Anolis sagrei: one gene and its partners. The protein of the gene in region 2 purifies or fractionates together with the protein of the main gene of each other region. This does not show direct contact. Links are inferred from orthologs where the notes say so. Each region holds a gene or a part of one and is shown on either strand. Other genes may lie near its edges. The genes, in order: SMARCD3, BCL7A, DPF2 and PBRM1.

Evidence for each region.
Region 1: the proteins of BCL7A (region 2) and SMARCD3 purify together in Homo sapiens (affinity purification with mass spectrometry; 4 studies listed by BioGRID and IntAct, counting the BioPlex papers as one, with this or other methods). This does not show direct contact. The link is inferred for Anolis sagrei from reciprocal best matches to the Homo sapiens genes BCL7A and SMARCD3.
Region 3: the proteins of BCL7A (region 2) and DPF2 purify together in Homo sapiens (affinity purification with mass spectrometry; 3 studies listed by BioGRID and IntAct, counting the BioPlex papers as one, with this or other methods). This does not show direct contact. The link is inferred for Anolis sagrei from reciprocal best matches to the Homo sapiens genes BCL7A and DPF2.
Region 4: the proteins of BCL7A (region 2) and PBRM1 purify together in Homo sapiens (affinity purification with mass spectrometry; 3 studies listed by BioGRID and IntAct, counting the BioPlex papers as one, with this or other methods). This does not show direct contact. The link is inferred for Anolis sagrei from reciprocal best matches to the Homo sapiens genes BCL7A and PBRM1.

Annotation. Positions count from the first base shown.
Region 1 is NC_090026.1:134,051,618-134,059,740, reverse strand, and holds the start of SMARCD3 (SWI/SNF-related matrix-associated actin-dependent regulator of chromatin subfamily D member 3), read right to left. Parts: upstream 3,137-8,123; 5' UTR 3,077-3,136; coding exon 2,999-3,076; intron 1-2,998. UniProt on the Homo sapiens protein: Involved in transcriptional activation and repression of select genes by chromatin remodeling (alteration of DNA-nucleosome topology).
Region 2 is NC_090034.1:32,155,385-32,162,388, reverse strand, and holds the start of BCL7A (B-cell CLL/lymphoma 7 protein family member A), read left to right. Parts: upstream 1-3,883; 5' UTR 3,884-4,095; coding exon 4,096-4,187; intron 4,188-7,004.
Region 3 is NC_090032.1:10,258,454-10,265,428, forward strand, and holds the start of DPF2 (zinc finger protein ubi-d4), read right to left. Parts: upstream 3,027-6,975; 5' UTR 2,999-3,026; coding exon 2,967-2,998; intron 2,954-2,966; exon of another isoform or gene 2,730-2,953; intron 1-2,729. Other genes in the region: FIBP (acidic fibroblast growth factor intracellular-binding protein), read left to right, coding at 3,168-3,429, 5,550-5,660. UniProt on the Homo sapiens protein: Plays an active role in transcriptional regulation by binding modified histones H3 and H4. Is a negative regulator of myeloid differentiation of hematopoietic progenitor cells. Might also have a role in the development and maturation of lymphoid cells.
Region 4 is NC_090022.1:68,112,661-68,120,730, reverse strand, and holds the start of PBRM1 (protein polybromo-1), read right to left. Parts: upstream 3,128-8,070; 5' UTR 2,949-3,127; intron 1-2,948. Other genes in the region: GNL3 (guanine nucleotide-binding protein-like 3), read left to right, coding at 3,323-3,335, 4,917-4,975, 6,238-6,375, 7,374-7,484, 7,799-7,882. UniProt on the Homo sapiens protein: Involved in transcriptional activation and repression of select genes by chromatin remodeling (alteration of DNA-nucleosome topology). Required for the stability of the SWI/SNF chromatin remodeling complex SWI/SNF-B (PBAF).

The DNA of each region.
Region 1 (8,123 bases), on a different chromosome or scaffold from region 2:
CTGGATGGCCATCTGTCAGGGGTGATTTGAATGCAATATTCCTGCTTCTTGGCAGAATGGGGGTGGACTGGGTGACCCACCAGATCCCTTCCAACTCTTTGAATCTATTATTCTGTCTATCTATCTATCTATCTATCTACCTATCTATCTACCTATCTATCTATTAGGCCTGGTCAATCTATGGTTCTAAATGGTTCTAAAGTACTTACAAAACTTAAAGTTCTGGTGGTGAAAATTTCAGAACTCTAACAAAACTTTCAAAATGTAATTATTATTTCATTATTGGTGATTTTTAGGATAGAACCATCTAGGAACTGCCATTTATAATGAAATTTTGAGAATTTTGTTAGAGTTCTGAAATTTTCACCACCAGAACTTTAGTTTTGTAAGTACTTTAGAACCATTTAGAACCATGGATTGACCAGGCTTACTATCTATCTAGATAAAGGTTTCCTCTTGACGTGTCCAACTCTGGGACTCTGGTACTCATCTCCATTTCTAAGCAGAAGAGCCGGCATTGTCCGCAGACGCCTCCAAGGTCAAGTGGCCACTGGCATGATTGCATGGGGAGCTGTTTACTTCCTGCCAGAAGGAGCGGTACCTATTGGTCTACTCACATCTGCATGTTTTCACACTGCTAGGTTGGCAGAAGCTGGGGCTAACAGTGGAAGCTTCCCCTGCTCCCTGGATTCTAATTGCCAACCTTTTGATCAGCAAGTTCAGCAGCTCAGCGGTCTAACTCACTGCACCACTGAGGGCTCCTATAATATATATGTGTTTGTGTATGTGTGACTGGAATTACACTTTAAAATGTCCCCGTTCTGACTGACAAGCAAATTCAACTTAAGAACAAACCCTCAGAAATGTTTGTAACTTGGGGACTACCTGCATTTCCCCCCTCCCCAAAGAAGGAAGTTGAACTTTTCCTGAAAAGGACCACTCAACAGGGGAAAGAGGGGCCCAGAATGGCCCCAGCCCCCACAGAGGAGCCTTCAGTGGGGTGCAGATTGTGTTTGAGTGTGTGTGGGGGGGAGGGGGGGTCACCTGAGCTCCTATTTTGCCTCCATTTCCCTCCCCTCAAAAGAGAAAGAGGAGCCACTTGGCCCAAACTGGACACAAGCACTTTGGCCCCAAAGGAGATCCAGAGAAGGAAGAGGACCTCGGGTGAGCCTCCCCTCCCCTCCCCAAATAATGCCCCCCTCCACTCTCAGACTAGGGAGGGTTCCACATTGAGGAGGGGCGACTGGTGTGGCCCCAGAGAGGAGGAGCCAGGAGAGAGGGACCCAGGGGCCACAATAGGTCTCAACAGGGATCTCTGGACAGCCCCAGAGAGGCAGGTGGTCAAAGTTGGACCGTCCCCACTGGCATTGTGCCCCACTCTTCTTTGCCCCCCCCTCCTTCTCTGCAATGGGGCTGCTTCTGAGAGGCAGGGAGGGGGCACCACCTGCCCCGTCAGGTCTTCAGGGGTCCTTCCAGCCCTCTCTGGCCTCAGTGCCTCCTGGCCCAGTTTTGAAGGGGCTGCATCACCCACCCACCCCATTTGATGCTTCTCTAAGCTCTCCCTGGGGCTGAACCTGTGGGGCCTGCCCCAGTGAGAGAGAGATGCCCCCAGCAGAGCCCCTTGCACACCAAGATCCCTTCTGCCTGCAGCTCAGGCCCACGATTCAGAAGGTCTCCAGTGCTCTACCTGGCCTTGGCTGCCCACCGTCCACCTCTCTGGACACTGCCAGGTCACCTGTTGACCAAGCCCTGCTTGCTCTAGTCTTGGCAGAAGTGGCCCTTCTTGGCCGCTGCCTCCAGTGGGCTTCCGCCCCAAGAATCATAGTTGGAAGAGACCTGGTGGGCCATCATCCAGTCCAACCCCCTTCTGCCAAGAAGCAGGACAATCACGTTCAAAGCACTCCCGAGAGATGGCCACCCAGCCTCTGTTTCAAAGCCTCCATAGGAGGAGCCTCCACTTCTGCTCCAGATTCATATTTTAGAGGGACACTTCCATCTTTTCACAGAAGATGTTTTGGGGGGACTTGCAGCTCTGGCCAAACTCTTGAAGGAGGCTGGACCGTACCCTCCATGGCCCCCCACCCCACCCTGCAAGCAAAGGAGCCCCCTCTTGAGTGACACATGGACAGCAAAAGGAGAGAAGGGGCCCCTTCTTTGGGAGTTGCCGACCCCCCCCCTTCCTCCACCTCCTCCTGGACTGGCCCTGCTGCCCCCTGAAGGGCCTGGCTGACCCTTTGCTACTTCACTGGACCTCACCTGTGGGAGGAGGAGGAGGGGGGTCCAGAAGAGGGCAACCCTAGGGGGGGGGGGGTTGGGTGGAAGGAGCCTTCTCCCTGACAGAAGGGGGCGGGGCTGGGGTCTTCATGACCCCCCCCCCCCCGCCTGTCCCCAAAACTGAGCTTGGATTCCCCACAGACACACACTCCTACCCCCCTCAGCTGTACCCCCCTGGAGTCCTCATGACTCCCCCTTGCATATCCCCAAAACTGAGCTTGGCTTCTCTTGTGTTCCCCACAGACACACACTCCCACGCCCCCACCCCTCAGCTGTACCCCCCAGGCTTGGGCTGCATCCCAAAGAAACAGCTGCCCAGAAAAGCCCCCGCAGCTGCTCTGGGACGGAGGGAGGGAGGGGCACCTGCGGAGACCTGAGGGGGGGGGGGGGCGCCGGGCATTTCCTCTTCCCAGTGAACAGACTCCAGGCAAAAGTTTCCGAGGGTCCTCCTGGGCCGGCTGCCGAGAAGCCCCCTCCTCACACACTTTGCCCTGCTCTATCCAGGAGGCCAAGCCCCCCCCCCCCTCTCGAAGATCCAGAGGAATCTGAAGCCCCCCCCCTCCTCCCCGCAAAGGCATCTCCCAGGCGGGGAGGGGGACGGGGCGACCCCCCTCGGCGGGGCACCTGTTCGGGGCAAGGCACGTGTGGGGGGGGGGGGGCGGGGCGGGCCAGCCTCTCCCCTCCCTCCTTCCCTCCCTCCTGTCCCCCTCCCCCCCTCACTCACCACCCCATGGACCAGGAACTCGAAAAGTTTGCTCTTGGTGGCCTTCCGCGCCCCGCCGGTCACTTCCTCCGCGGCCATGGGTCCGGCTGGGCGAGGAGGGGCGGGAGAGGAGAGAGAGAGAGCGGCGACCAGGGAATAGGGGGGGGGGGGCGAGGGAAGGCGGGAGGGAAGGAAGGAGGGAGAGAGGGAGGGGCCTGCTTTCTCCGCCCGCCTTGCCTCCCCTCCCCTTCCCTTCCCTTCCCCGCCGCCGCCGCCCCGGCCTCCTTCTCCTTCTTCCTCCGGCCTCTCCCGCCTTCCTGCCTTCCGCCGGTCGAGAGAGAGAGAGAGAGAGGCCCAGGGGGAGGGCGGAGGGGAGGAGGGGGAGGGCGGGAGGAGGGAAGGAGGGAAAGAGGGGAGGGGTCCGCACGGGGCGCCGCGAGGGACGGCCCCAGGCGGCGGAGCAGAGGCACCAGCTGCGGCCCAAATTCCTCCGCCCAAGACAGAGAGAGAGAGAGAGAGAGAGAGGAGGGGAAGGGGGGAGGGAGGGGAGGGGGAGGAGCGGACCCTCGGGAGGACACCCCCCCCCCCACGCTCAGACCCCGGACCGGGAAGGGGGGGAGGGAGGGAGGGAGGGAGGGGAGGAAAGAAGGAAGCAGGCGCCGACAGACACAGAAAGAGAGAGAGAGGAGGGGAGGGGGAGGGAAAGGGGGAGAGGGAGGGGAGGGAGGGGCGGACCCTCGGGAGGACACCCCCCCCCCCACGCTCAGACCCCGGACCGGGAAGGGAGGGAGGGGAGGAAAGAAGGAAGCAGGCGCCGACAGACACACAGAGAGAGAGAGGGGGGGAGGGGAAGGGAAAAGGGGGAGAGGGAGGGAAGGGGAGGGGGAGGAGCGGACCCTCGGGAGGACACCCCCCGAGTTCAGACCCCGAGCCGGACCGGGAAGGGGGGGAGGGAGGGAAGAGGAGGGGAGGAAAGAAGGAAGGGAGGAAGGAAGGAAGGAAGGGGCCTCTTCCCCTCCCGGCCGCACAAAGGCTCCTCCCCGCCCCTCCCCTTCTCTCTCTCTCTCTCCCCCCCCCCCCCCCTCGGACGCCGCGCCCTCCCTCCCTCCCTCCCTCTCTCCCTTCCTCCGCCGCTTCCGGCCTCCTCTCCCGGGTCAGCCCCCCCCCGAGAGCCCCGCCCCCACCCCTCGACGCCCCCTCCCTCTCTCCCTCCCTCCAGAGGAGCCAGACCCGACTCTTCCCCCCCACCCCGAGAGGAAAGGCATGGGATCCGATTACCCCCCCCCTTTCCCTTCCCGCCGCAACGAGGGGGGGGCGCACTTGCCGTCCTTCCCGGCGCCGCGGTGACCGGCATCTCCGGCGCTGGTCTCCCTGGCAACAGAGGCGGCGTTGCCAGGTAACGGGAGGGGCGTGGTACCCAAGGGAGGCTCGAGAAGGAGGGAGGGAGGGAAAGAGGGAGGGGCGTACGCCCCTTTGGAGGGCGGGGGCTGCGGAGAGACTTCGCGCGGGAAGGAAGCAGGGAGGGGAGGGGAGGGGAGGAGGGAAAGGCCCCCTCCTGGGGAAAAGACCCCTCCTCCGCGGCCCCCTTGGCGCGGGGGGGGGTTGTCTCCTCGCCCGACTCCACCCCCTTGCCCCCCTCCCGAATAGCTACCTCCTCTGAGGGAGGGAAGGAGGGGAGGGCGCATGCGCAGAGACTTCTCTTGTCTCTCCCGTGAAGGTCAGTCAAGCGGACGGCGGGAGGGACGGAGGGGGGAGGGAGGGACGGAGGAGGGGCTTCCGCTCTCCCGTGTTTGGAAACGGAGGCTCCGGGACACGCGCCGCCTCCCACGAGAAGGGAGGGAAGAACCTTCACATACCCCTCCCGCCTCCCCCCCCCCCAGCATAGGGCTCCAAGACGGGGGGGGGGGTCCCGCAGCCAAGCCGGAAGCCAAGCCTGAAGCCCCTTCCCCGCAGGACGGGCCCGGCCCCGAAGGGAAGAGCGGGGTCGGTGGGGCCGAAGGGGGGGCGGCGTGGTCCCTCTTGGCCCCCCCCCTCCGGACCTCCTCCACCCTGCCCGTCTCCCAGGATGTTGCTGCCCAGAGCGGGACCAGGCGAGAGACCGGAGGGAGCCAAGCAGGAGAGAAGTCGGGGGACGGGGGGGGGGGGGCACCCCAGGAGAAGGGCTCGGGCTCCTTTGGCAGCCGCCGAGTCACACTCGGGGCTCCCACTCAGCTTGGGCTCTCCTCAGACCCCTTCTGGACTGGACCCCTTCCCCACGGAGGATTCTCAGGAGATCCCTTTGACCAACAGCCGGGTTTTTCTTTTCTCTGTCAGGAGCCACTTGAGAAACTGCAAGTTGCTTCTGGTGTGACAGAATTGGCTGCCTGCAAGGACGTTGCCCAGAGGACGTTGGTATGGGTGCAGCTGGTGCACAAGTCTTAGTTGTGCCAAAGCTCTCCTGGCCACCACGGAGACCTGGGGTTCCAGGCTCAGCAATGAATCCAGGAGGACTCCCAAGCTGCAAACCTGGTCAGTCGAAACTGACCAGGTGTAACCCCACCTAGCACAGGCTGTAACCCTATGCCCTGTTCAATGGCCTTACGACTGACCAGGAGGACCTCTGTCTTGCCTTGATTCACTTTCAGTTTGTTAGCCCTCATCCAGACCGTCACAGCGGCCAACCACCGGTTCAAGGTCTGGACAGCCTTCATAGTAACAGGTGGGAAGGAGTGACAGAGTTGGACGTCATCTGCGTACAGATAACACCTTACTCTGAAACTCCGGATGACCTCCCCCAGCGGCTTCACGTAGGTGAACATCGGGGACAGTACTGAACCCTGAGGGACTCCACAAGACAACAGTTGTGGAGTCCAACAGGTGTCACCCAATAACACCTTCTGGGACCGACCCTCCAGGAAGGACCGAAGCCACTGCAGAGTAGTACCTCCAAGTCCCATTCCCACGAGGCGTCCCAAAAGGATACCATGGTCGATGGTATCGAAGGCCGCTGAGAGGTCCAGCAGAACCAACAGGGACACACTCCCCCTGTCGAGCTCCTGGCGTAGATCATCTACTAAAGTGACCAAGGCTGTCTCAGTCCCATGTCCCGGCCTAAAGCCAGACTGTGCCGGATCTAGATAATAAGTGCCTACCAAGAACCCCTGGAGTAGCGAGGCCACCACACGTTCCATGACTTTGCCCAAGTAGGAAAGATTGGAAACTGGCCGAAAGTTGACGATTGAGTGGGGTCCAGTGATGGCTTTTTCAACAGTGGTTTAATAACAGCCTGTTTTTTTATGCTGGCTAGAATCTTGCCCTCTTGTAAGGAGGCATTAATCACCACCTTGACCCACTCTGCCAAACCCCCTCTGGCCTCTTCTGTCAGCCAGGATGGGCAGGGGTCCCAGATGCATGTGGTAGGCTTCGCTACTCCAAGGATCTTGTCCAGGTCCTCAAGCTGAACCAATTGAAAAGAATCCATCAAAACCGGACAAGCAGGTGCTCGTGTCACATCTTCAGAGACTGCCGTTAAAGTGGCATCGAAGTCAGAATGGATCAGAGTGACTTTGTCTGCAAAGAACTGAGCAAATGCTTCACAGCGATCTGCCAAGTTGTCAGGGATCTCGCTCTGAGGTGGATTTAATAGTTCTCTGACAACTTGGAACAATTCCACTGGATGGTTCTTAGCGGACACAGTATTGGTCACAAGAAATGTTTGTTGTCGGGGATCAAACTCTGAGGCGGATTTAATAGTCCTCTGACAACTCAAAACAGCTCAGCTGGACGGTTCTTAGCAGATGCAATATTGGCCACGATAGATGTTTTCTGTGCAGCCTTTACTGCCGCGTCATAGGTCCTTAAAAAGGAACCCAGGCGTGCTCGAGCTGATCTGCTATGCTTCCGCCGCCACACACACTCTAGCCTCCTCTTCTTTCACTCCATCGCTGCCAGCTTCTCAGTGAACCAAGGAGCTGGTTTAGCTTGGTTATTGGTGAGGGGGCATTTTGGAGCGATCGGGTCTATTGCCCTGGTCATCTCCCTGTCCCAGAGAGAGACTAGAGCCTTGATAGGGTCACTTACCAAAGAGGCAGGAAAATCCCCAAAAGCCGTCAGGAATCCATTTGGATCCATAAGTCTCCTGGGGCAGACCATTTTAGTGGGCCCACCTCCCCTGCAGAGGTGGAAAGACACAGTAAGTCCCTTTGCCTACCAAGCTAGCAACTCATTCATTCTCTCTCTCTCTCTCTCTCTCTCTCTCTATATATATATATATATATATATAGAAAGGATATTCATCCAGCATGACTTGTTTTTGAGAAATCTGTGCTAATGTCCGCATGGCATCCCTTTGCAATGCTTAGAGATAGTTCTAGAGTCTTTCCTGGTAGGTCTTGATGCCAGGCTGACTAGGCGGTTCTTGTTTGGGGGCCCCTTTTGAAGAGGGGGCCACATCTGCCCTCCTCCAGCCTGTGGGAATGCCCAAAGGTGATGGTCACTAGTCCTGAAATGACTCCTGCCTGTTCTTTCCATATTCTTGGATGGCGTTCAACCTCACCTGGAGATAGAGGTTTCATTGAGATTAGCCAGGTATCCTTGTCCTGCCTTTACCTGTTCTGTGCTGCATTTCCCCCATTGCTTCATTGACTCCCTCATCCCCAAGTGGAGCACCGTTGCTCTCAGACTTCTCCCAAAAGGTAAAGAACCTGTGGAGCAACTTGGCCTTTTGTCTGTCCCACCGGCCTTCCTTCCACCCTCTTGTTCAGGCCGTGGCCCCGCTCTTTCCTCCTCCTTCTTTCTTTTGCTCCCCAAAACCTCCTCTGAATTCATTCTGCGCTTTGGCCTTTCTGGCTTTCTCTCTACATATGGGGTGGGGGCTATTTCCAGGGTCCTGGTTCCTGTAAACATTTCCTATTTTCCCTCCTTGTTGGAGATGTTTGAAATTGTGCCACCAATTCACAAGGAACTTTCAAGAAACTCCTTTCCATCATGGACTCCTCAGGAGAAGATAGTTGCTCCTACCACATCCAGTCCATTTCTCCCTTCTCCTTGAACGGGAAGGAGAGCCAGAATGAGGCCCTGGGCACCACGGCCCTTGGGCTTCTTGCCCATAGATCACCTAGGTGACCTCCTGAGGGAGATGCCTTGCAGTGCCATTGCTTCCCACAGG
Region 2 (7,004 bases):
CTTCCTGAGACCACTGAGACCCTCGCCAATGACTGATCAAGACCAAACTTGGCACACAGAGTCCCCATGACCCACTCTACATCCTGGTGCACTTTCGAGGAGGACAGACCATGGATGATGGGACTTCAAGTACCTCCACTCCCTTCCCAAGATTGCTGCAACCCTCATCTAATGACCAATCTAGACCAAACTTGGCACACAGAGCCCCCATGACCCACTCTACATCCTGCTGCAGTTTTAGAGGAGGGTTGACCATGGATTATGGGACTTGCAGTACGTTTACTCACTTACTGAAACCACTGCTACCCTCATCCAATGACTGATCAAGACCAAACTTAGCACACAGAGCCCCCATGACCCACTCTACATCTTGGTGCAGTTTGGAGGACAGACCATGGATGATGGGACTTCAAGTACCCCCACTCCCTTCCCAAGATTGCTCAACCCTCATCTAATGACCAATCTAGACTAAACTTGGCACACAGAGCCCCCATGACCCACTCTACATCCTGCTGCAGTTTTGGAGGAGGGTTGACCTTGGATTATGGGACTTGCAGTACGTTTACTCACTTACTGAAACCACTACGACCCTAATCCAATGACTGATCAAGACCAAACTTAGCACACAGATCCCCCATGACCCACTCTACATCCTGCTGCAGTTTGAAGGAGGATGGACTTTGGATGATGGGACTTGCATTACCTTCACTCACTTAGTGAAAGCACTACCACCCTCATCTAATGACTGATAAAGACCAAACTTGGCACACAGAGCCCCCATGACCCACTCTATATCCTGCTGCTGTTTGGAGGAGGGTGGACCATGGATGATGGCACTTCAAGTACCTTCACTCACTTCCTGAAAACAATGCAGCCATTATCCAATTACCAATAAAGACCAAACTTGGCATACAGAACTGCCATTACCCACTTTCTCTAATAACCCGGGCAGCGCCGGGTCCCCAAGCTAGTATATAATAAAAGTCAAAGTTTGTATGCGGCGGAAGTGTGGCGGTGTATGTGCAGGCTTTTTGATTGGCCAGCCAGAAAGTTCCAAGATTCCGATTGGCCGCCAATGTGGTGCTATTTGCATATGGTCTCTGATTGGCCAGCTCCAACAGGAGCCCCTGGTGGAGAAAAGGGTTCATGGCAGAAACGGAGACATGAGAGAAGGAAATTTGCATATGGTCTCTGATTGGCTAGCCTCAATTCCAAGATTCCGAGATGACAAAGAGAGGAAAGGAAAAGGCCAGGGGCTCTGTCAGAAAATTACCAATACAGACCAAACTTGGCACACAGAGCCCGCAAGACCCACTCTACATCCTACTGCAGTTTGGAGGAGGATGAACCATGGATGATGGGACTTGCAGTACCATCACTCACATTCTGAGACCGCTGTTAACCTCATCCAATGACTGATCAGGACCAAACTTGGCACATAGACCTCTCATGACCCACTTTACGTCTTGGTGTGGTTTGGCTGGTAATGGACCATGGATTATGGGACTTGCAGTAACTTGGCTCAATTCTTGAGACCACTGCAACCCTCATCCAATTACCGATAAAGACCAAACTTGGCACACTGAGTCTCCATGACCCACTCTACATCCTGGTGCAGTTTGGAGGAGGATGCACCATGGACGATGGGGCTTGCAATACCTGCACTCCCTTCCTAAGACCATTACAACTGCCAACAATGATGGATCAGGACCACAATTTACACAGAGAGCCTGCATGACCCACTCTACATCCTGGTGCGGTTTGGAAGAATTTGATAATGGATGATGGGACTTGCAGTCACTTCACTCACTTCCTGAGACCACTGAGACCCTTGCCAATGACTGATCAAGACCAAACTTGGCACACAGAGTCCGCATAACCCACTCTACATCCTGGTGCACTTTCGAGGACAGACCATGGATGATGGGACTTCAAGTACCTCCACTCCCTTCCCAAGACGGCTGCAACCCTCATCTAATGTCCGATGAAGACCAAACTTGGGACACAGAGCCCCCATGACCCACTCTACATCCTGATGCTGTTTGGAGGAGGGCGGACGATGGATGATGGGACTTGCAGTACCTTCACTCACTTCCTGAAACCACAGCGACACTTATCCAAATACCAAGAAAGACCAAACTTGGCAGAGAGAGCCCCCATGGCCAACTCAACATTCTGGTGAGATTTGGGGGAGAACAGACTATGGCTGATGGGACTTGCAGTACCTAAACTCACTTTCTGAGACCACTGTGACCCTCACCCAATGATTGATCAAGAACAAAACTTGGCACACAGAGCCCCCACGACCCACTCTCCATTCTGGTGCAGTTTGGAGGAGGAAGGACCACAGATGATGGGACTTGCAGTACCTTCACTAACTTCCTGAGACCACTGCGAGCCATATAAATCACTGATAAATAAGCAACCTTGATACATAATTCCTTTCTCAAATTACCCGGGCAGTGCCGGGTCCCCAAACTAGTATATAATAAAAAAAGGAAAAAAAACACAAAAAAGTGGATGTGTCTCTTATTGGGACATGCCACATTATCACAGGATGTCTACGCTCTACACTGCTGGAGAAATCATACTGTTTAGATCAGGGGTCCTCAAACTTTTTAAACAGAGGGCCAGGTCATAGTCCCTCAAACTGTTGGAGGGCCGGATTATAATTTGGGAAAAAAACATTAATTAATTCCTATGCACACTGCACATAGCTTATTTGTAGTGCAAAACACACTTTAAAACAATACAATAATTAAAATGAAGAACAATTTTAACAAATATAAACTATCTCTGATGAGATGGGATTGTTGTTGCTGTGTGCTTTCAAGTAATTTCAGACTTAGGTTGACCCTGAGCGAGGGCCAGGTAAATGAACTTGGAGGGCCACATCCGGCCCCCGGGCCTTAGTTTGAGGACCCCTCGTTTAGATGGTATTGCACCACCTGACATCTGTCGGGAAGTAGCAGCCATGGGCATCTCTGGCCCATCCTGTTTGGATATCAGCCAGCACGCCAACGCTTTAAACCAAGAGACAGCTTCCTAAGATCTACAGAGATACTTGCAGGAACACCTCAGCAAGCGGGAATCCAAAAATGGCAAGCTAAAACCCAGAATCTCAATCAGTGGCTGAAACCAGATGAGAAACTCCCTCCTGGGCACACAGAACAGGCTGCGCTCTGGCGCTACGGGAGGCACAGCCAATCTTAAGAAATGGGGCTGCAAAGTGGAGTCCACAATATGCACGTGTGGAGAAGAGCAAACTGCTGACGACCTATTACATCGCAACCACATACACAATTGAGGACCTTCTCACAGTGACACGAGAGGCATTCCAAGTGGCCAGCTTCTGGTCAGAGGAAATCTGGTATAATGCCAAGCTTTTAACTTTCCTTGTATTTTTTAATACATTGTAACAGTATTCTCAACTGGCTTGTGACACATAAAATAGCGAATGGCATTGGGACTGCATGGCGTTTGGGGTCTCTTCGAAGAAGAAATGGAGGGCCTGGCGGGCTTTCCTTTTGGACACCAGCCCTATGGGAACTTGTGGTTGGGCTTGCGATGCTTTGGGACTGGTCTTCTCCTTTGTACAAATGGTGCTTTATGGACTGCAGAAAAGAAGGTGTTTTAGAAGGCGGTCGTTAAACGCCTCAAGTCCCCTCAGGCTTGGCTCTCCACTTTTGGAAAGGCTAGGCGTCAACAGACAACGAGCCTTTCCCAAGGTAGAGGGCCAACCCTGAGGGAACTCCATGCCCTCAGCGGCCAAATGGGCGGGAAGGCTGCCTCTCGCACAGGTCCCGCCCCCAACGGGCTCGGGAAGGCTACGTGCTCCGCGCTGGCGCCTGCGCAGTGCCGCCTCCGCGTGCTGCTCCTCCCTCCCTGCCTGCCTTCTTCCCTCGAGGCGGGCTGAGGCGGGGAGGAGCCTTCATTGTGCGTGAGGGGGCCAACCAGCCAGGCCGGACTTGTTCTCCCTCTGCTGCTGCTACCGCTGCCTCTTGTACCTCCTCAGCGAGGGAGGGAGCCGTCCATTCGGAGCCTGCCTCCCCCCCCCCCCGCGCCGCGTCCAACCCCCTTCGCCGCCTCAGCAGCATGTCGGGCCGGTCGGTGCGGGCCGAAACCCGCAGCCGCGCTAAGGATGATATCAAGCGGGTGATGGCCGCCATCGAGAAAGTCCGCAAATGGTGAGGGGAGCAGAGGGCACAGGGTAGTCCTTTTTGGGGGAGGAGTTCCTTTGGAGAATAAGGGAAGGGGGCAGCCCTTAGAACCCGCCCTCCCCCCTCCAAGTGCTGGCTTCCTTTGGGGCAGATAGGCTCGCTCTTCTCTCTCTCCCCCACTCCACCCCCGCTCTTCCTTCGCCTGCCTCTCCTCCAGCTCTTCCCTTCAGTTGCTTCTACCCCCCCCCCCAAACAGGCCCCGCCCCCTCCTGGGTCGCTTCCTAGTGCCCCACATCCCTTGGCCTTGTCTGCCCTCCCTTTCTCCCCTTCCCAATCTGCTCCAGTCTTCTTCAGACAACCCCCCTTCACAGCCAAGACTTGCCCCATAACCCCCAAGGCAAGACTTCTCCCCCCCTTCCCCTGCTAGGGGATCCATTCCTCCCCAGGTTCGGTTTCCCTCACCCCACTCCCAGCACTAGCCTTGGTCCTGTGCCCTCCTTGGCTCCTTTGGCCTCTTCCCCCCGCCACCCTGCCCATTCATTCTCCTACGCAGCCGCCTCTCTTATTGGCCCAAGGCCTTTGCTTTCCCTGCCCCCATGACCCCTTCACAGCTCAGCCCTGACTGACCCACCGACTTCTCATTCCCTCCCGCCCTAGATTTCTTTTCATACTCTCTTTCAAAAGAGCATTTGCTCTTTCAGAAGGATCCACATTAGAAGCTGTCTGTCGTTGCATGGCGTTGGTTTTTAGAAGTAGACCTATTCGAAAAGGCCAAAAAATGTGGCTATACAACAGCTCCTAACGTCCTGGTCAGTCCCCACCCCCCAAACCTGGCCAGTATTCCCCAAACCTGGCCAAGTTTGCCATGATGGATGTGTGTACCAAGTTTGGCCCAGATTCATCATCAGCTGGGTTTAGAGGAGTCTTTTGTTTGTGGCTGAACTATAACTCCCAACATCCAAGGACAATTCCCTCCCAACTTGTCAGGACTGAAATTTGGTCCTGTGGGGGTCTGCGTGCCAAATTTGGTCCAGATTTGTCGCTGGCAGGAGTCATGGGACTCTCTCTCAATGTGAGAGCCATCTTGAACACATAGATACAAGCATACATTCATACATACAAACATATTTTCACTTTTATTAGATAGATAGATAGATAGATAGATAGATAGATACTTCAGCCTGTGATGCACCCCAGGAGTGGTTTCATCCTCTCCCATTTTGTTCTGCTGGACCCTTCTTCAGACCAGCAGAGTATTCAAATCTCTGTTCTCCTCTGTCTGAACTCTTGTAGCCTTTTCTGTCCTATCCTGACTTTTTCTCCTGTTAGCCCCCCCCCCCCCCCAATAGCTAGCAATGAATCTGGTTTACATACAGAATTGGATCATTACTCCAGTTCAACTACTCTCCACCCTACTTTGATCAGTGAGATCTTTTTGAACTGGGGACTCCTTTTCTCCCTTCCCAATCTGCCCCTGATTGGGACTTCTCCAGGTGAAGCATGTACCTGAGTTACAGTCCCATCTAAGGATCTCCTGACTTCCTTTTCACCTTTTTCAGGGCCACTCTTCCCAGAGGGCACATCCCTCATTTCTGTGAATATTCATATTCTTAGGGGGGGGGGGGAAACCCTTCTCAATCTGCTTTTGAGTGGACTCTTGCCGCTCATGGGCTCATCTCTCATCCTCACCTTCCGGTGAACTTTTGCTGTTCTGGCTGCTTTTCTCTTTGTGCAGCCTCTTTCTGATCAGTCCTAAAGTGTCATTTGACTCCCAATTGGTTCCCTTTCCTTTTGTCTGAAGCGTGGAAGATCGGAGAATGTGCTTTGTGGCCTATATATCTTTATTTTCTTTCTCTCTCTCAAATCAGAAGGATTTGATATTAAATAGGCACAAAAATGGCAAATAGGATGGGCGTTTATGTGACAGGCTTACTTTGCTGCAAAAGAAACGTTTCATCTTTTCCTTCAAAACCTTTGTGCACTTTCAAGTGTGAAGGGTTAGCTTAAATCCGTTTCAGACACTTTTCAGAAGGGAGGCTTGAAAGAATAGTTTTTTCCTTTAAATGCCATATAAAGGGCAAAATATGTACATCCCCCAATATTTTAATTGGAATGGGTCAACCAGATGGATCTATTATAAAGGTTTATTTCACACAGTAAGTCAAATGTATGCTGGTATGTATTGTTTGATTTGTACAATTTAAATTCAGTGTTAGAAAGAGGTTGTAATTGCTGCTTGAATTTATTTGAAATTATATAATTGAAGGTTGTAACCTGGTAGAATCATCCCCTTTTGTTAAACCTTTACAGCATTTTAGCGTTTCATTCTTTTGCAGGGGGTTATTGTGTAGTTTCTATTGTGGAAGTCATTGTGGCATACTTAAAACAATGCAGCGAAATGGTTATTGAGAGACAATAGGCAATCATGGTGTCGTTTGGTATTTTTGGATCAGATGACATGATATGAATGTAATTAGAGAGTCTTATTTTGGTGAACTTGATTGTGTTTTTGTAATTTTAGCCTGTTTTGTGTTGGGCAAGTGAATAGCTCATACAGAGCCGGTGTCCTTCAATTTCATGTAGCTCAAGATTTTGTGTCTGATAAAACAGAGCCAGGTTTTGTTCATCTCTAGGTGTTTATGAATGGAATCCAGCAAATAGATTTATACTGCTCTTTTCATACTGGATGGTCTCTGTTTTAAAAGCTAGAAGGCTTGTTAGCAGTCCATTCAACTTGTATTAAACAAAGGACCAAAATGTCCTTTCCAATACAGAACTAAGAAGGGGGTTTCAAAAGAGAAATCCAAGCTGTTGTGCTGAAAAGCCAAGCCACCAACAGTCCTA
Region 3 (6,975 bases), on a different chromosome or scaffold from region 2:
GGAAGGAAGGAGAGAAGAAAGGAGGTATTAGGGAAAGCAACTGAAAGAAGGAAGGAAAAGAAAGAGGGAGAAAGTATGAAAGGGGGAAGGAAAAAGAAAAAGTCAAGAAAAAGGATGAGAAAGGAAAGGAAGGAAGAAAAAGGAGGTATGAAAGAAAGCTACTGAAGGAAGGGGAGTGGAAAGAAAGAGAAATAAGACATGAGAAAGGAAGGAAGGAAGGAGAGGGAGGGAGGAAGGAAAGAAGGAAGGGAACCAACTGAATGAAGGGAAAGAGAGAGGGAGAAGGAGTATGAAGGAAAGGGAGAAGGAAAGGAAGAGAAAGAAGGCATGAGAAAAGAAGGAAGGAAGGAAGGAAGGAAGGAAGGAAGGAGAGGGAGGAATGAGGGAAAGCAAATGAAGGAAGGAAGGGAAAGAGAGGGAGAAGAAGTATGAAGGAAAGAGAGAAGGAAAGAAAGAGAAAGAAGACATGAGAAAAGAAGGAAGGAAGGAAGGAGGGAAGGAAGGGGAGGAAAGAGGGAAAGCAACTGAAGGAAGGGAAAGAGGGAGGAGAAGAAGTATGAAAGAGAGAAGGAAAGAAGGAGAAAGAAGACATGAGAAAAGAAGGAGGGAGGGAGGAAGAAGAGGGAAGGCTGAGGGAAAGCAACTGAAGGAAAGAATGGAAAGAGAGGGAGAAGAAGTATGAAGGAAAGAGAGAAGGAAAGAAAGAGAAAGAAGACATGAGAAAAGACGGAAGGAAGGAAGGAAGGAAGGAAGGAAGGAAGGAAGGAAGGAGAGGGAGGAATGAGGGAAAGCAACTAAAGGAAGGGAAAGAGAGGGAGAAGGAGTATGAAGGAAAGAGAGAAGGAAAGAAAGAGAAAGAAGACACGAGAAAAGAAGGATGGAGGGAAGGAGGGAGAGAAGGAAGGAAGGAAGGAGAGGGAAGAATGAGGAAAAGCAACTGAAGGAATGGAAAGAGAGGGAGAAGGAGTATGAAGGAAAGAGAGAAGGAAAGAAAGAGAAAGAAGACACGAGAAAAGAAGAAAGGAAGGAAGGAAGTAGAGGGAAGAATGAGGGAAAGCAACTGAAGGAAGGAAGGGAAAGAGAGAGGGAGAAGGAGTATGAAGGAAAGAGAGAAAGAAAGAAGGAGAAAGAAGACATGAGAAAAGAAGGAAGGAAGGAAGAGAGAGGAATGAGGAAAAGCAAATGAAGGAAAGATGGGAAAGAGAGAGTGAGTATGAGGTATGAAGGAAAGAGAGAAGGAAAAGAAGGAAGGAGGGAAGGAAGAAGACGGAGGAATGAGGGAAAGCAACTGAAGGAAGGAAGGCAAGGAGGGAGAAGAAGTATGAAGGAAAGAGAGAAAGAAGACATGAGAAAAGAAGGAGGGAGGGAAGGAGAGGGAGGAATGAGGGAAAGCAACTGAAGGAAGGGAAAGGGAGGGAGAAGAAGTATGAAGGAAAGAGAGAAGGAAAGAAAGAGAAAGAAGTCATGAGAAAAGAAGGAAGGAAGGAAGGAAGGAAGGAGAGGGAGGAATGAGGGAAAGCAACTGAAGAAAAGGTGGGGAAAAGAGAGAGGGAGAAGAAGTATGAAGGAAAGAGGGAAGGAAAGAAGGAGAAAGAAGACATGAGAAAAGAAGGAGGGAGGGAGGGAAGGAAGGAGAGGGAGGATTGAGGGAAAGCAACTGAAGGAAGGAAGGACAAGAGAGAGGGAGAAGGAGTATGAAGGAAAGGGAGAGGGAAGAAAGAGAGAGAAGACTTGAGAAAAGAAGGAAGGAAGGAGAGGGAGAAGAAGTATGAAGGAAAGAGAGAAGGAAAGAAAGAGAAAGAAGACATGAGAAAAGAAGGAGGGAGGGAGGAAAGAAGGAAGGAAGGAAGGCGAGGGAAGAATGAGGGAAAGCAACTGAAGGAAGGAAGGGAAAGAGAGAGAAGTATGAAGGAAAGAGAGAAGGAAAGAAAGAGAAAGAAGACATAAGAAGGAAGGCAGGAGGGAGAGGGAGGAATGAGGGAAAGCAACTGAAGGAAGGAAGGGAAGAGAGGGAGAAGAAGTATCAAGGAAAGGGAGAAGGAAAGAAAGAGAAAGAAGACATGAGAAAAAGGAAGGAATGACGGAAGGAAGGAGAGGGAGGAATGAGGGAAAGCAACTGAAGGAAGTAAGGGAAAGAGAGGGAGAAGAAGTATGAAGGAAAGAAAGAGAAAGAAGACATGAGAAAAAGGAAGGAAGGGAGGGAGGGAGGGGAGGGAGGAATGAGGGAAAGCAACTGAAGGAAGGAAGGGAAAGAGGGAGGGAGAAGTATGAAGGAAAGGGAGAAGGAAAGGAGAAAGAAGACATGAGAAAAGAAGGAGGGAGGGAAGGAGGGAGGGAGGGAGGAAAGAAGGAAGGAAGGAAGGAGAGGGAGGAATGAGGGAAAGCAACTGAAGGAAGGCAGGGAAAGAGAGAGGGCGAAGGAGTATGAAGGAAAGAGAGAAGGAAAGAAGGAGAAAGAAGACATGGGAAAAGAAGGAAGGAAGAAGGAAAGATGAAGGAAAGAGAGAAGGAAGGAAAGAAAGAGCTTCAAAGAAAAAGCAAACCCAGGCAATGCACACTTTAGTATACACCAACAACATCCCTTCCACCTCAGGACACCATTCATTGAGGTGGAGTTGTCCTTCCTCCATTCCTGAAGGCCTCCTTTTCCCTCAGGCCCGCCTCAAGTAACAAAAGTGTTATTTCCCTTCCACAAACCTTACTTTGGAAACTTTAAGGCACTGACTCACCTGTGTTTCTCTCCTCTGGCTCCACTATATCCTGCTCATATGTATCATAAACTTTAGGGCCAAACAATGAGAAGAAAAAAGACCCAACAACTCTCCTCCTTCTCCCTCAACAAAGATTTCCCCTTTCCCCCCTGCGAATGGAATGGGCCCGCCCTCTGCTCCCGCTTCGCAAAGGCTCGGGCTGTACCACTCCTGACGGAAAAGAGGGGGGAACACAAGAGGAAAATTTCCACTCACAGCTTCACCACATTCTGGACCACCGCCGCCATCTTGCCCGCCTCAACTGCGCCTGCGCGAACCGCCCGCTCGGGCTCTCATGAGGGATGCTCGCGCACGGCACGGCGCATGCGCTCCGTGGCTGCGCATGACCCTTCGCTGTTCCCAGCTCATGCTGTTCAATCCCGAGAACGGGGTGTAGTTTGTGTGCGCATGCGTTGAATGATCTCATTTTTTTTTACGCCACAGGAGGCTTCGACGGATGCCCTGAGCGACCAAAAAAAAGACAAGACTGCGTTTCGCTATGAATGCGGTTGGCTGTGGAATCTTAAGAGGAGAGGTTGCAGTGCCAGGAGCCAAGATGGCGCCTGGAGAGTGACACTCGGGGTCTGCGCATGCGTGAGCCCCAGTTTGGCCAGGAAGAGGGTCAAAAGGTCTTATTTACTACAGAGAAAGGTGGTGGTTGTGGTTGAGAGGAGAAAAGGTAAGGAGAGAGAGGGGCAGAATGTATTGTCGAAGGCTTTCATGGCCGGAATCACTGGGTTATTGTAGGTTTTTCCGGGCTATAAGGCCATGTTCTAGAGGCATTTTCTCCTGACATTTCGCCTGCATCTATAGCAAGCATCCTCAGAGGTAATGAGGTCTGTTGGAAGTAGGAAAAATGGGTTTATATATCTGTGGAATGACCAGGGTGGGACAAAGGACTCTTGTCTGCTGGGGCTAGGTGTGAATGTTGCAATTGGCCAGCTTGATTAGCATTCAATGGCTTGGAAGTGCCTGGGGGGAATCTTTTGTTGAGAGTGATTTTCTGTGCCTGTTTGTTTCCCCTCTGTTGTTTTGCTATTGTAATTTTAGAGTTTTTTTTAATACTGGTAGCCAGATTTTGTTCATTTTCATGGTCTCTTCCTTTCTGTTGAAATTGTCCTCATGCTTGTGGATTTCAATGGCTTCTCTGTATGATGGAAAGAGAGAAGGAAAGAAGGAGAAAGAAGACATGAGAAAAGGAGGGAGGGAGGAATGAGGGAAAGCAACTAAAGGAAAGATGGGAAAATAAAGAGGAACAGCTTTCATGTGATATTTTAGGAAAAGCTTGAAAACTTGGCTGTTCCACCTTGCTTTTGAGGAATGAACAATAATGCCATGCCTGTCCCAGTGTATACTCGTCCCCTTGATGCACTTCCTAGCAAGTAATTGGTCAGTCGTAAGGCCGAACAGGGAATAGGGTTACAGCCTGTGTTAGACGGGGTTACACTCCCCCTGAAAAAGCAGGTTCGCAGCTTGGGAGTGATCCTGGACTCATCGCTGAGCCTGGAACCCCAGGTCTCAGCGGTGGCCGGGAGAGCTTTTGCACAATTAAAACTTGTGCACCAGTTGCGCCCGTTCCTTGGGAAGTCTGATCTGGCCACAGTGGTCCACGCTCTTGTTACATCCCGAATAGACTACTGCAACGCGCTCTACGTGGGGTTGCCCTTGAAGACGGTTCGGAAACTTCAACTGGTCCAGCGAGCGGCAGCCAGGCTGCTCACTGGGGCGACATACAGAGAGCACACCACCCCTCTGCTGTGTCAGCTCCACTGGCTGCCGGTTCAGTTCCGAGCCCAATTCAAGGTGCTGGTCTTGACCTACAAAACCCTGTACGGGTCCGGTCCAGCGTATCTGTCCGAACGTATCTCCCTCTACGTCCCACCACGGAATTTAAGATCATCTGAGGGGGCCCTGCTCTCGACTCCACCGCTTTCCCAAGCAAGGCTGGTGGGGACGAGGAGCAGGGCCTTCTCAGTGGTGGCCCCCCACCTGTGGAACTCACTCCCAGTGGATATCAGGGCATCGACATCACTCCTGTCCTTTAGGAGAAAGGCAAAGACGTGGTTGTGGGACCAGGCCTTCGGGCAATCTGCTAACTAGATAGGACAACCAGGCAATTAGGACCGGCAGGACTGATATATGTGGACTGATAAATGTGGAAGAAAACTCTGAACCATGAGATAGCGAACACTGACTGCCAAGAAGGAAGAAGCGGTTTGTATCGGTTTGTATGAAATTTTATTGGTTTTATTGGTTTTAACGGGTTTAGATGCAATGTGTTGTTGTTGTTGTTGTTTGCTAATTTGTTATTTTGTTTTATTGCTTATTATTGATGTATGCTATGGGCATCAAATTGTGCCTTGGATGTGTAAGCCGCCCTGAGTCCCCTTCGGGGTGAGAAGGGCGGGGTAAAAGTAAACCAAATAAATAAATAAATAAATAAATAAACTCCAATGACATTGAACATCGAGAAAACCCAAGTGGTCTTCCAGCAGTCACCAGCCAATCCCTCTCCAATGCCAGGAATACAGCGTAACGGTGTAACGTTAGTAAATGTGGACCATTTCTGCTCTCTTGGCAGCCACCTCTCCACCAAGCAGTGCTTCTTATAAGTCAGAGTACAGTCCAGAGTAACTCCCAGGTATTTGGGTGTACTGCAGTGCTCCAGAGAGATTCCTTTCCAGGAAATCCTCAGAGCTTGAAACCTTTGATTGTGGGAGTTGAGGTCCAAAAAACCTGGAGGGATGAAGTTTGCCCATGCCTGATGTAAATGAATTATATTTTACCTTCCTTTTGCAGCTTCCTGTTCCATCTTCAGAGGCAACATGGCCAGCAATCTGGACATCTTCGTGGGGAACACTACTCTCATCGATGAGGAGGTCTACCAGCTCTGGCTGGATGGCTATTCAGGTGCGACAGGTGTCTCAGGTGTCTTTCTTTGTTTTGGGGCTATTTATTTATCGTGTCATCAGCAACTATACCATTATATTACAATTCTAACAGAACAAAACAAACACACAGATTAAAAAGAAAAGAAAAAAAAACACAGATTTTGCAAACTTGGTAGTTGGTTAAATGTCCTTTGACCAGTATCTGGCCACTTGGAGTGCCTCTGGGGTTGCCGCAAGAAGGTCCTCCATGGTGCATGTGGCAGGGCTCAAGGTGCCAGGTGGTCAGTGGTTTGCTCTTCTCCACACTCGCATGCCGAGGATTCCACCCTATAGCCCCATTTCTTAAGATTGGCTCTGCATCTCTGCAACTCTTATTATTTTCAGTAATAAATGGGTTACCTCCTGCTGTAAACATATGAGAATAGAGCATAAAGCCTTGATTGAATGATACCCACCAAACTGACCAAGGCTTAACCTTTGTTATCCAGCCTGGTGTCCTTGCCCTTAGCAAAACTATAAGTTACTATCTCTGGGGAGAGGGTGGGGGGGGGGGTCACGTTCGACTTCAGTTGTAAGAAGGTCCTCCATTGTCAGAGGTGGCCCTAGGTAATTTTCAATGGTAAGCAAACAGTATTCCCCCCCCCCCCCCAACCAATCACTGATATATATTTTCCTTTCATCGTGGGAGTTCTGTGTGCCATATTTGGTTCAATTCCATCATTGGTGGAGTTCAGAATGCTCTTTGATTGTAGGTGAACTATACATCCCAGTAACAACACATATGTCAAGGTCTATTTTCCCCCAAGAGCGCCCCTGTGCAAAATCAACTATGCCGCAAATGCTTACTTTGTGTAATGGGTTGAGCCGCCCCTGTCCATTGTGCATGTAGCGGGGCTCAGACTGCATTGGAGTAAGTGGTGTGTGGTTTGCACTTCTCCGCACTCGCATGCCGTGGATTCCACTTTGTGGCCCCATTTCTGAAGGTTGGCTCTGCATCTCGTGGTGCCAGAGCACAGTCTGTTCAGAGCCTTCCAAGTCGCCCACTCTTCTGAGTGCCCAGGGGGGAGTCGTTCATCTGGTATCACCCATGGATTGAGGTGCTGGGTTTGGGTCTGCCACTTTTGGACTCTCGCTTGCTGGGGTGTTCCAGCAAGTGTCTCTGTAGATCTAAGAAAACTATGTCTTGATTTAAGTCATTGACGTGCTGGCTGATACCCAAACAAGGGATGAGCTGGAGATGTCTCTGCCTTGGTCCTTTCACTATTGGCTGCTACTTCCCGGCGGATGTCAGGTGGTGCAATACCGGCTAAGCTGTGTAATTTCTCCAGTGGTGT
Region 4 (8,070 bases), on a different chromosome or scaffold from region 2:
CTATGGGTAAGAAACATAATAACAATTATTATTATTATTATTTTGTTATGATTGTGCAACGTTTCTAGTGAGAGATACCCAGTCTTTAATAATCTCAAGTTTCATGTATGTATTTTAACTATGGTTTATCTCACCTTGAGTAGTGGGTAAGAAACATAATAATTATAATTAATAATAATTTGTTCTGAATATTCAGCTTTTCTAGTGAAGGGCACTGTCTTATTTTGATGTCATGTTTCATTTATCTATTTTAACTATGGTTTACCTCACCTGAAATGGGTAAGAAACATAATAATAAGGATGCCTGCCATAGATGTGGGCGAAACATCAGGAAAGAATGTCTCTGGAACATGGCCATACAGTTCAGAAAACTTACAGCAACCCATTATTATTATTATTGTTTTGTTATGAGCATGCAATTTTATTTTATTTATTTATTTACAGTTTTTATATTCCACCCTTCTCACCCCGCAGGGGACTCAGGGCGGATTACAGTGTACACATATATGGCAAACATTCAATGCCAGTTTGACAGACAACAAATACAGACAATATACAGAGGCTATTTAACTTTTTTCTGGCCGCCAGGGGAGCTGCTGCTTTCATCGTCCATCAGCGACACCGATGAAGTTCTTCTGCATTCCACATCCCTGAGTTTTCTTTATGGCCTCATAAATTAGTTAATTTAGCCTCCCACACAAGGTGGTAGCTTATTTTCCTACTTGACAGATGCAACTGTCTTTCGGGTTGCAAAGGTCAACAACAGGCTACACAATGGCTGGACACCCACTCCAGCCTGGGGTTGGCTTCGAACTCATGACCTTTTGGTCAAAGTGATCTTAATGCAGCTGACACTCAGCCAGCTGCGCCACAATCTCGGTGCAATGTTTCTAGTGAGAGATATTCAACCTTTAATTATCTCATGTTTCATGTATGTATTTTAATTATGGCGTACCTCGCCTTGAGAAGTTGGTAAGAAACATAATAATTGCTAATAATATTAATAATATTTTGTTATGGATGTTCAGCTTTTTTAGTGAAGTATACTCAGTCCTATTTTGATCTCATGTCTTATGTATGTATTTTAACTATGGCTTACCTCGCCTTGAGAAGTGGGTAAGGAACATAATAATTAATAATAATATTAATTAATAATATTTTGTTATGAATGTTCAGCTTTTCTAGTGAAGGATAATCAGTCTTATTTTGATCCCATGTCTTATGTATGTATTTTAACTATGATTTACCTCACCTTGAGAAGTGCGTAAGAAATAATAATAATTATTAATAATATTAATAATATTTTGTTATGATGTTAAGCTTTTCTAGTAAAGCATACTCAGTCTTATTTTGCTCTCATGTTTTATTTATGTATTTTAACTGTGGTTTACCTCACCTTGAGAAGTGGGTAAGGAACATAATAATTATTAATAATGTTAATAATATTTAGTTATGGATGTTCAGCTTTTCTAGTGAATGATACTCAGTCTTATTTTGATCCCATGTCCTATGTATGTATTTTAACTATGATTTACCTCACCTTGAGAAGTGTGTAAGAAATAATAATAATTAATAATAATTAATAATATTAATATTATTTTGTTATGGATGTTAAGCTTTTTTAGTGAAGGATACTCTGCTTTATTTTGATCCCATGTCTTATGTATGTATTTTAACTATGGTTTGCCTCAACTTCAGAAGTGGGTAAGGAATATAATAATTATTAATAATATTAATAATATTTTGTTATGTTCAGCTTTTCTAGTGAAGAATACTCAGTCTTATTTTGATCTCATGTCTTACGTATTGTGCAGAAGTCATTGATACTATGTATGTGTTTAACTGTTAGAGTATATATTTGTGTTTGCAACAGTAGCTAAAACTAGAGTTATCTGGTTTGAATCCACAGTGAGCGTTGCTAAGGAGACCAGGCAGGCTAGCTCAGGAGAGTGAGAAGTGGGCGGAGCCAAGCAGAAAAAGGGGCAGTGTGTGAGTGAGTGTGGAGGCTTGAAAAGCCTGGGAGAGAGGTATGTGTGAGCAGCTGGAGGTTTTTCAGTCTAGAAGGGCTGAAGAGAGAAACCTGGCCAATTTCTTTAGTCAAGGAAGACTAAAGGAAGCTTGTTAAGATCCCTAGTCAAGGAAGGACTAGAGATCAGAGATTTGATCAAGGAAAGATCAAATTGGAAGGCTATTCATAGTAGGAAACATTGTTCACTAAAGAGCTTCACCTCAGTAAAAGCCACCAGCTGTGTTATTTGGAAGAGTGGACTGTATTACAAACAAAGTGATATTCAAAGTTCTATAAGTTATTTAACAGCCTGCAACCATACGCTTTGTACACAATAAACTTGTTATCTTTTGTTGAAGACCGTCTCGTCTCAATTAATCTGCGTCTGTAAAGCCAGATCTCATTGGTGGTACCTCAAATACCTCACGTTGGCGGCAGTTACCTTAATTTACAAGTAATAATTGGCCTCCTCTATAATATATTCTTATACACAACTGAGGCCTGAGATTAATTCCCTCCATAATCATTCACACCTGTACAATTGGTTCGCGCATAACTGTACAGTATATATTTTAACTATGGTTTACCTAGCCTTGAGAAGGGGGTCAGAAACATATTAACTATGATTATTATTTTGTTATGAACGTGCAACATTTCTAGTGAATGACCTCAGGTTTTATGTATGTACTTTCTCTATGTTTGACTTAGCCTTATGGAGAGGGAGGTAAGAAACCACATTTGTTATTGTTATGATGACGTTATGATTCGCAAATATTCTGGGAAAATGTCAGAACCTCCAAGACCATCTGGTGCCCATCGTTTTGGGAGAGAGAGGGAGGGAGAGGAGGGCTCTTCTCACACAAAGGGCGCCTGCCGCGGCCTCCTTCCTTCCTGCCTGCCTGAGCCAAGCCAAGCCCGGCCCCTCGCCCTCGGCGCTTACCCAGCCCGCGGCTACTCCGGTCCCTCCTCCGGCGGCGGCGGCGGCGGGGGCGGCGCTGCTGGCGTTGCCGCTGAGCCTGGGCCTCCTGCAGCCGCGGCCGCGCTCGGCCCCCCCGGCCCCCCGGGCCCTCGGCGTCGCCACTGTTGCTGCTCTCCGCCCGCTCCCAGGCGAGCCTGCCGCTGTCGTGAAAGAGAAGCTCGGCCGCCAAGCGAGGCTGGGCGTGCGACAGCCAGGAACAAAAGGGGGGAGGGGGAAAGAAGGAGGAGCGGAGCGTGCTTTATGGTAGCCGCAACTGCGCAGGCGCGAAGGTCTTCCCGTTTTTTTGTCGCACGTGGAGAGGAAGGCAGGCGGAAGGAGACGCAGCAGCAGCCATCATGAGGCGGCCCAGTAAGGAATGCTTTAGCCAGGGCTTTTGTCAGGAGCACTTTGGGGAGGGTTCTTTCTTTTCTCTCTCTCTCTCCACCTCTCCTTCACAGCGGCACCGAGGAAGGAGATGAGAGAAGGATCTGAATCAGGCCTGGGCCAACTTGGGCCCTCCAGGTGTTTTGGACTTCAACTCCCACAATTCCTAACACCCGGTAGGCTGTTAGGAATTGTGGGAGTTGAAGTCCAAAACACCTGGAGGGCCCAAGTTGGCCCAGGCCTGATCCAAATGCACCCTTCGACTTGTGGGAGCCTTCTCATTTCCCCACAAGGGGAGCTGGAGCTGACAGAGGGAGCTCATCCACGCTCTCCCCAGATTCAGACCTCCGACCTATTGGTCTTGAGTCCTGCGGGCACAAGGGTTTAACCCATTGCGGCACCGGGGGCTCCTTAAATGCCTTCATTAGTTAAATGGATATACAGTAAGAAAGACAAGAAACTTTGTCATGCAACTTTGAGCAGATTAATTCCTCATTTATTGACACACTCTTCCATCTGGAAGCTTCTCATGTTAAAAAAAAAACATATCTAGTCAAAAGTTGGGCCGGGCTTTAGTACAGTAGGTTAATCACCAAGCTGCAATAAATCCTGCCAAACGGAAGATTGGCAGTTCGAAGCCCGGGTCAGGGTGAGCCCCTGACCTTTAGCCCAGCTTCTGCCTACCTAACAGTTCGAAAACAAATGTGAATAGATAAATAGGAACTGCATTAAAGTGGGAAAGTCAAGTCATTCCAGTCAGAAAAAGGAGGAAGTTTATGAACAAAGAAAGCTCTTCGGCAAGGAGATGGAGCGAGCACAGCCTCCAAAGATGCCAAAAGATGGGAAAGCCTATATAGACCTCTATCTGTTGTCTATCTTGTCACTATATAATCGACATTGAATGTTTGCTGTATATGTGTTCTGTGATCTGCCCTGAGACCCCTTCAGGGTGAGAAGGGCGAAATATAAATACTTTAAATAAATAAATAAATGTAGCATATTGATATTAATAACAGCCAGTTTCCATGAGTGATTTGGAAGGAACCTGATCTAGTATAATACCTAGGCCTGAAATTCCTGATCTAGTGTTAAAGCCTGCAGTTGGATGTGTTTGTTGAGATTGAAAGCTGAAAATCTACTGCCTCTAGATGTCATTTTTATTTAAAACATCTGCACACCACTTTTAACTGGGGTGGGTAAGAAGTAATAGTTCTTACTGATAAAAATAACTCTGGATAGAATCATAGAGTTGGAAGAGACCTCGTGGGCCATTCAGTCCAACCCCCTGCCAAGAAACAGGAAATTTGTATTCAAAGCACACCCGATAGATGGCCATCCAGCCTCTGTTTAAAAGCCTTCAAAGAAGGAGCCTCCATCACAGTCTGGGGCAGAGAGTTCCACTGCTGAACAGCTCTCACAGTTAGGAAGTTCTTCCTCATGTTAAGGTGGAATCTCTTTTCTTGTAGTTTGAAGCCATTTTTCTGTGTCCTAGTCTCCAGGGCAGCAGAAAACAAGCTTCCTCACTCCTCCCTATGACTTTTAATACATTTATGTTTTGTTTTTCAGAGCTGAAGAAAGCTAGTAAGCGCATGACCTGCCACAAACGTTTTAAAATACAGAAAAAGGTAGGTGTGAACTATTGCTGCAGTCAGAATACCAGACCAACCAAAGCTCCAATGATAGTTTTTAGGCCAGAAACTTTCCCTTTGTAGTATATCCATTCTTTGAAATAATTTTATGCTATCTGCTCTACTAGGAAGCATTGGCCTCACATGAGGTCATGCAATGTCGGTTCAAGGTTCTCTTTAGCTGCTGGATGAAGTCTGCCAGAACTCTCTTTAAGAATGTTTTTAATTTCTTTATGAAGAGATTTCTTTATAATTTCTTTATAAAGACAATTGTTTTTTCAGTGCTGGTTAGGGAGTCACTTCCATTAGACATGGGTCAATGGACCAGTTAGCAGCACTTTCATTAAGGGAGAACAGAGTTAGATTCTACTTTATCACCATCATCTCTTGTCTCCATTGTAGTATAAATAGTCTATTTGGTACTTGCTCTGTCTAATGTGGTGAGATCTATGAATTATTGATTCAACCAGTGCCAACAGGGAGAGGAAATGATAACAACCACCTTCTAGTAGAATAACAGTAGTAGAGTAGTGTTTTGCTGAATCCGCAACGACAGTGGGTAAATGTTTGGGTAAATGTTGCTTCAGCTCCAGAATCATTAAAAAGCTAAGCAGATCAACTTGATTTTCTCACCCCTCTTCTTTTTTTTCTTCAGTGTTGATTAATAGAATTGCTGGTTAAGTTCAAAACTCCCCCTAAGATAAGAGTGACTAGGCAGTATTCCTCTCTAATTGTGCTACTCAGAAGATCAGAGAGTGAAAACGACGTGGCTCCAGCCATCTTCCCCACCTGCAAGATCAATATTGCATTAATTACTGTTTCTCCAGGAAAAACCGGGGGGGGGGGGGAGTGCCGCCATCGAAACCGGCTGGATGACTGTGGACAAGTCACACTCTCTCAGTCTCAGGAAGGCAAGAGCAGACCTCCGCTGAAGCAACATATCGAGAAAACCCTATGATAACTTTGCTTGAGGATCTCCATAAGTCAGAAATGACTTGAAGGAGCACACAGCAACTACAATAACATTTGTATAATGCATGCCCAAGATAATGCCTACATTCCTGGTATTTAAAATATTGCCATAAATTAGTTTCGCCATTCTGAGCCATAAAAGTTATAGTTGTTATTTCCCAGAAATTCCACATTTTCTACTGGAAAAATTGAAAAGTCCTGAGAAAGAAATTGTGATATTTTGATTGTGGGTTGTCAATAAAGCTTCTTTAAAAAAAATAGAAATATTTTGTTGTTATTGTTGATAGGTACGAGAACACAAGAGGAAACTCAAGAAGGAAGCCAAGAAGCGTGGCCATAGAAAACCAAAGAAAGACCTAGGAATTCCCAATTCTGCACCTTTTAAGGAAGAAGTTCTTCGAGAAGCTGAACAAAGGAAACAAAGGGTAAAACAACAGAGGCTGTACCATTAATGGATCTCTTATCCTATTAGGAGTTGTGTTAGGAATAGAGATGGGAAAACCTGGAAAAAATGAGAAAAATTGGGGGAAAAACATTCAACCCCCCCCCCCCCCCCAATTATTCCAGGTTTTTTCCAGGCCTTCCCATCTCTATTCAGAACGAACCTCTTTTCTTATCAGGAGTTGTGTTAGGAATCATCTTGAACAGAGCTTTCCAAACATTTCATGTTGGTGACACATCTTTTTAGACGTGCATCATTTTGCAACACATTAATGCAGTTTTACTACTAAACCAGAGGTTAAACCAACCCCTTATAAGAGATATGGGTGCAACATATGATAACCTTTCATTTAGATTTTTGTAAATATAGGATTTGTAAGATAATAACATACATTTATAAGATTTTTGTCATTTATGAGTAGCAATACATAAATATGTGGAAGAATTTTTAAAATTCTACATTCGCATGACACACCTACACACTGCAGCCGACACACTAAGATGTGACAACACACAGTTTGCAGACTTCTGATCTAGGAAATATTGGCAACTTTCACCTCTTAAATATTTTTATTATGTCGAATTAGTTTTGAGTTTTAACAGCAAAATCTGATTAATTTAGATTGAGTGTTGCATTTTTGTTGTAGTATCAGTTCAACTGTAATTGTAAATGCATACATTTTGCTCTCATACAATTTCAAGCACAGTCCAGGAAAAGCTAGAAATAGGTTGATATTGACAATTCTTGTGCATCATGTTTTCCTATCTCTAATGCCATTAGAGTTATTTTTCTACTTCTCCCAAAGTTTCCAGTTTTTTCGCTGACTGGCTAAAAAAAATTTATTTTCCTTAGTTCCTGTTGTATGATGCCAGCAATATTACATAGCAATAAATTCTAAGTACTCTGTTATTGCTAATGCCTTGCTGAGTGTGGAGGGAAAGCCTTTCTGAATATAATTTTGTGTGTGTGTTTTGTGAACAGCGTGAAGAACTGAAACAGAAGCAAAAACTTGATCGGCAGAAAGAGCTGGAAAAGAAACGTACACAGCAAAAAAATAAAAAGGATGGTGGTGAAGTAATGCGAGGTGAAAAGGTATGTATTTCTATATCAGTGCTTGAATCTGACTGGGATGATAGCACAGGAGAGGTATGTTAAAAGTTTGCTTTGACAACATGTGTTGCTACAGATAGAAATTCAAAGATGAGTTGTCACTGAATATGTTTTCTTTACTTGAATATAATGGTGTTGGATGTCAGTTTTAAAATCTTTTTTTCATTGTAAAAGTTGGGTTTTTATTGGACTAAAAAGTATCTACAAATTGTTATATGGATAAGTTTCTGTTACTTGCATCATTTTGGTTATAAGTTCTGGAATTAAAAATTTTCTTATATCCCCGTGTATCTTAGAAATCAAAGAAAAAACAAAAATTGAAGTCAAACCAGCAGATTGCTAAAAATTCAAAGAAACACTTTTGCCAGGAACTGAGAAAGGTAAGATTATGTAACTTTTTTCCCTGAGGTTTGATACATGTTCCAGAGATTTGTTTCACTTCAGTAGAGAAAGGGAGATAAAAAGTGATTTTTAGTTCAAACATTTGGAATTTGCAGCTTTTTTGAATTCACAAGACTTGTTATTATGTAATAATTGTTTATTATATTATAAAATGAGTTTCACGTGG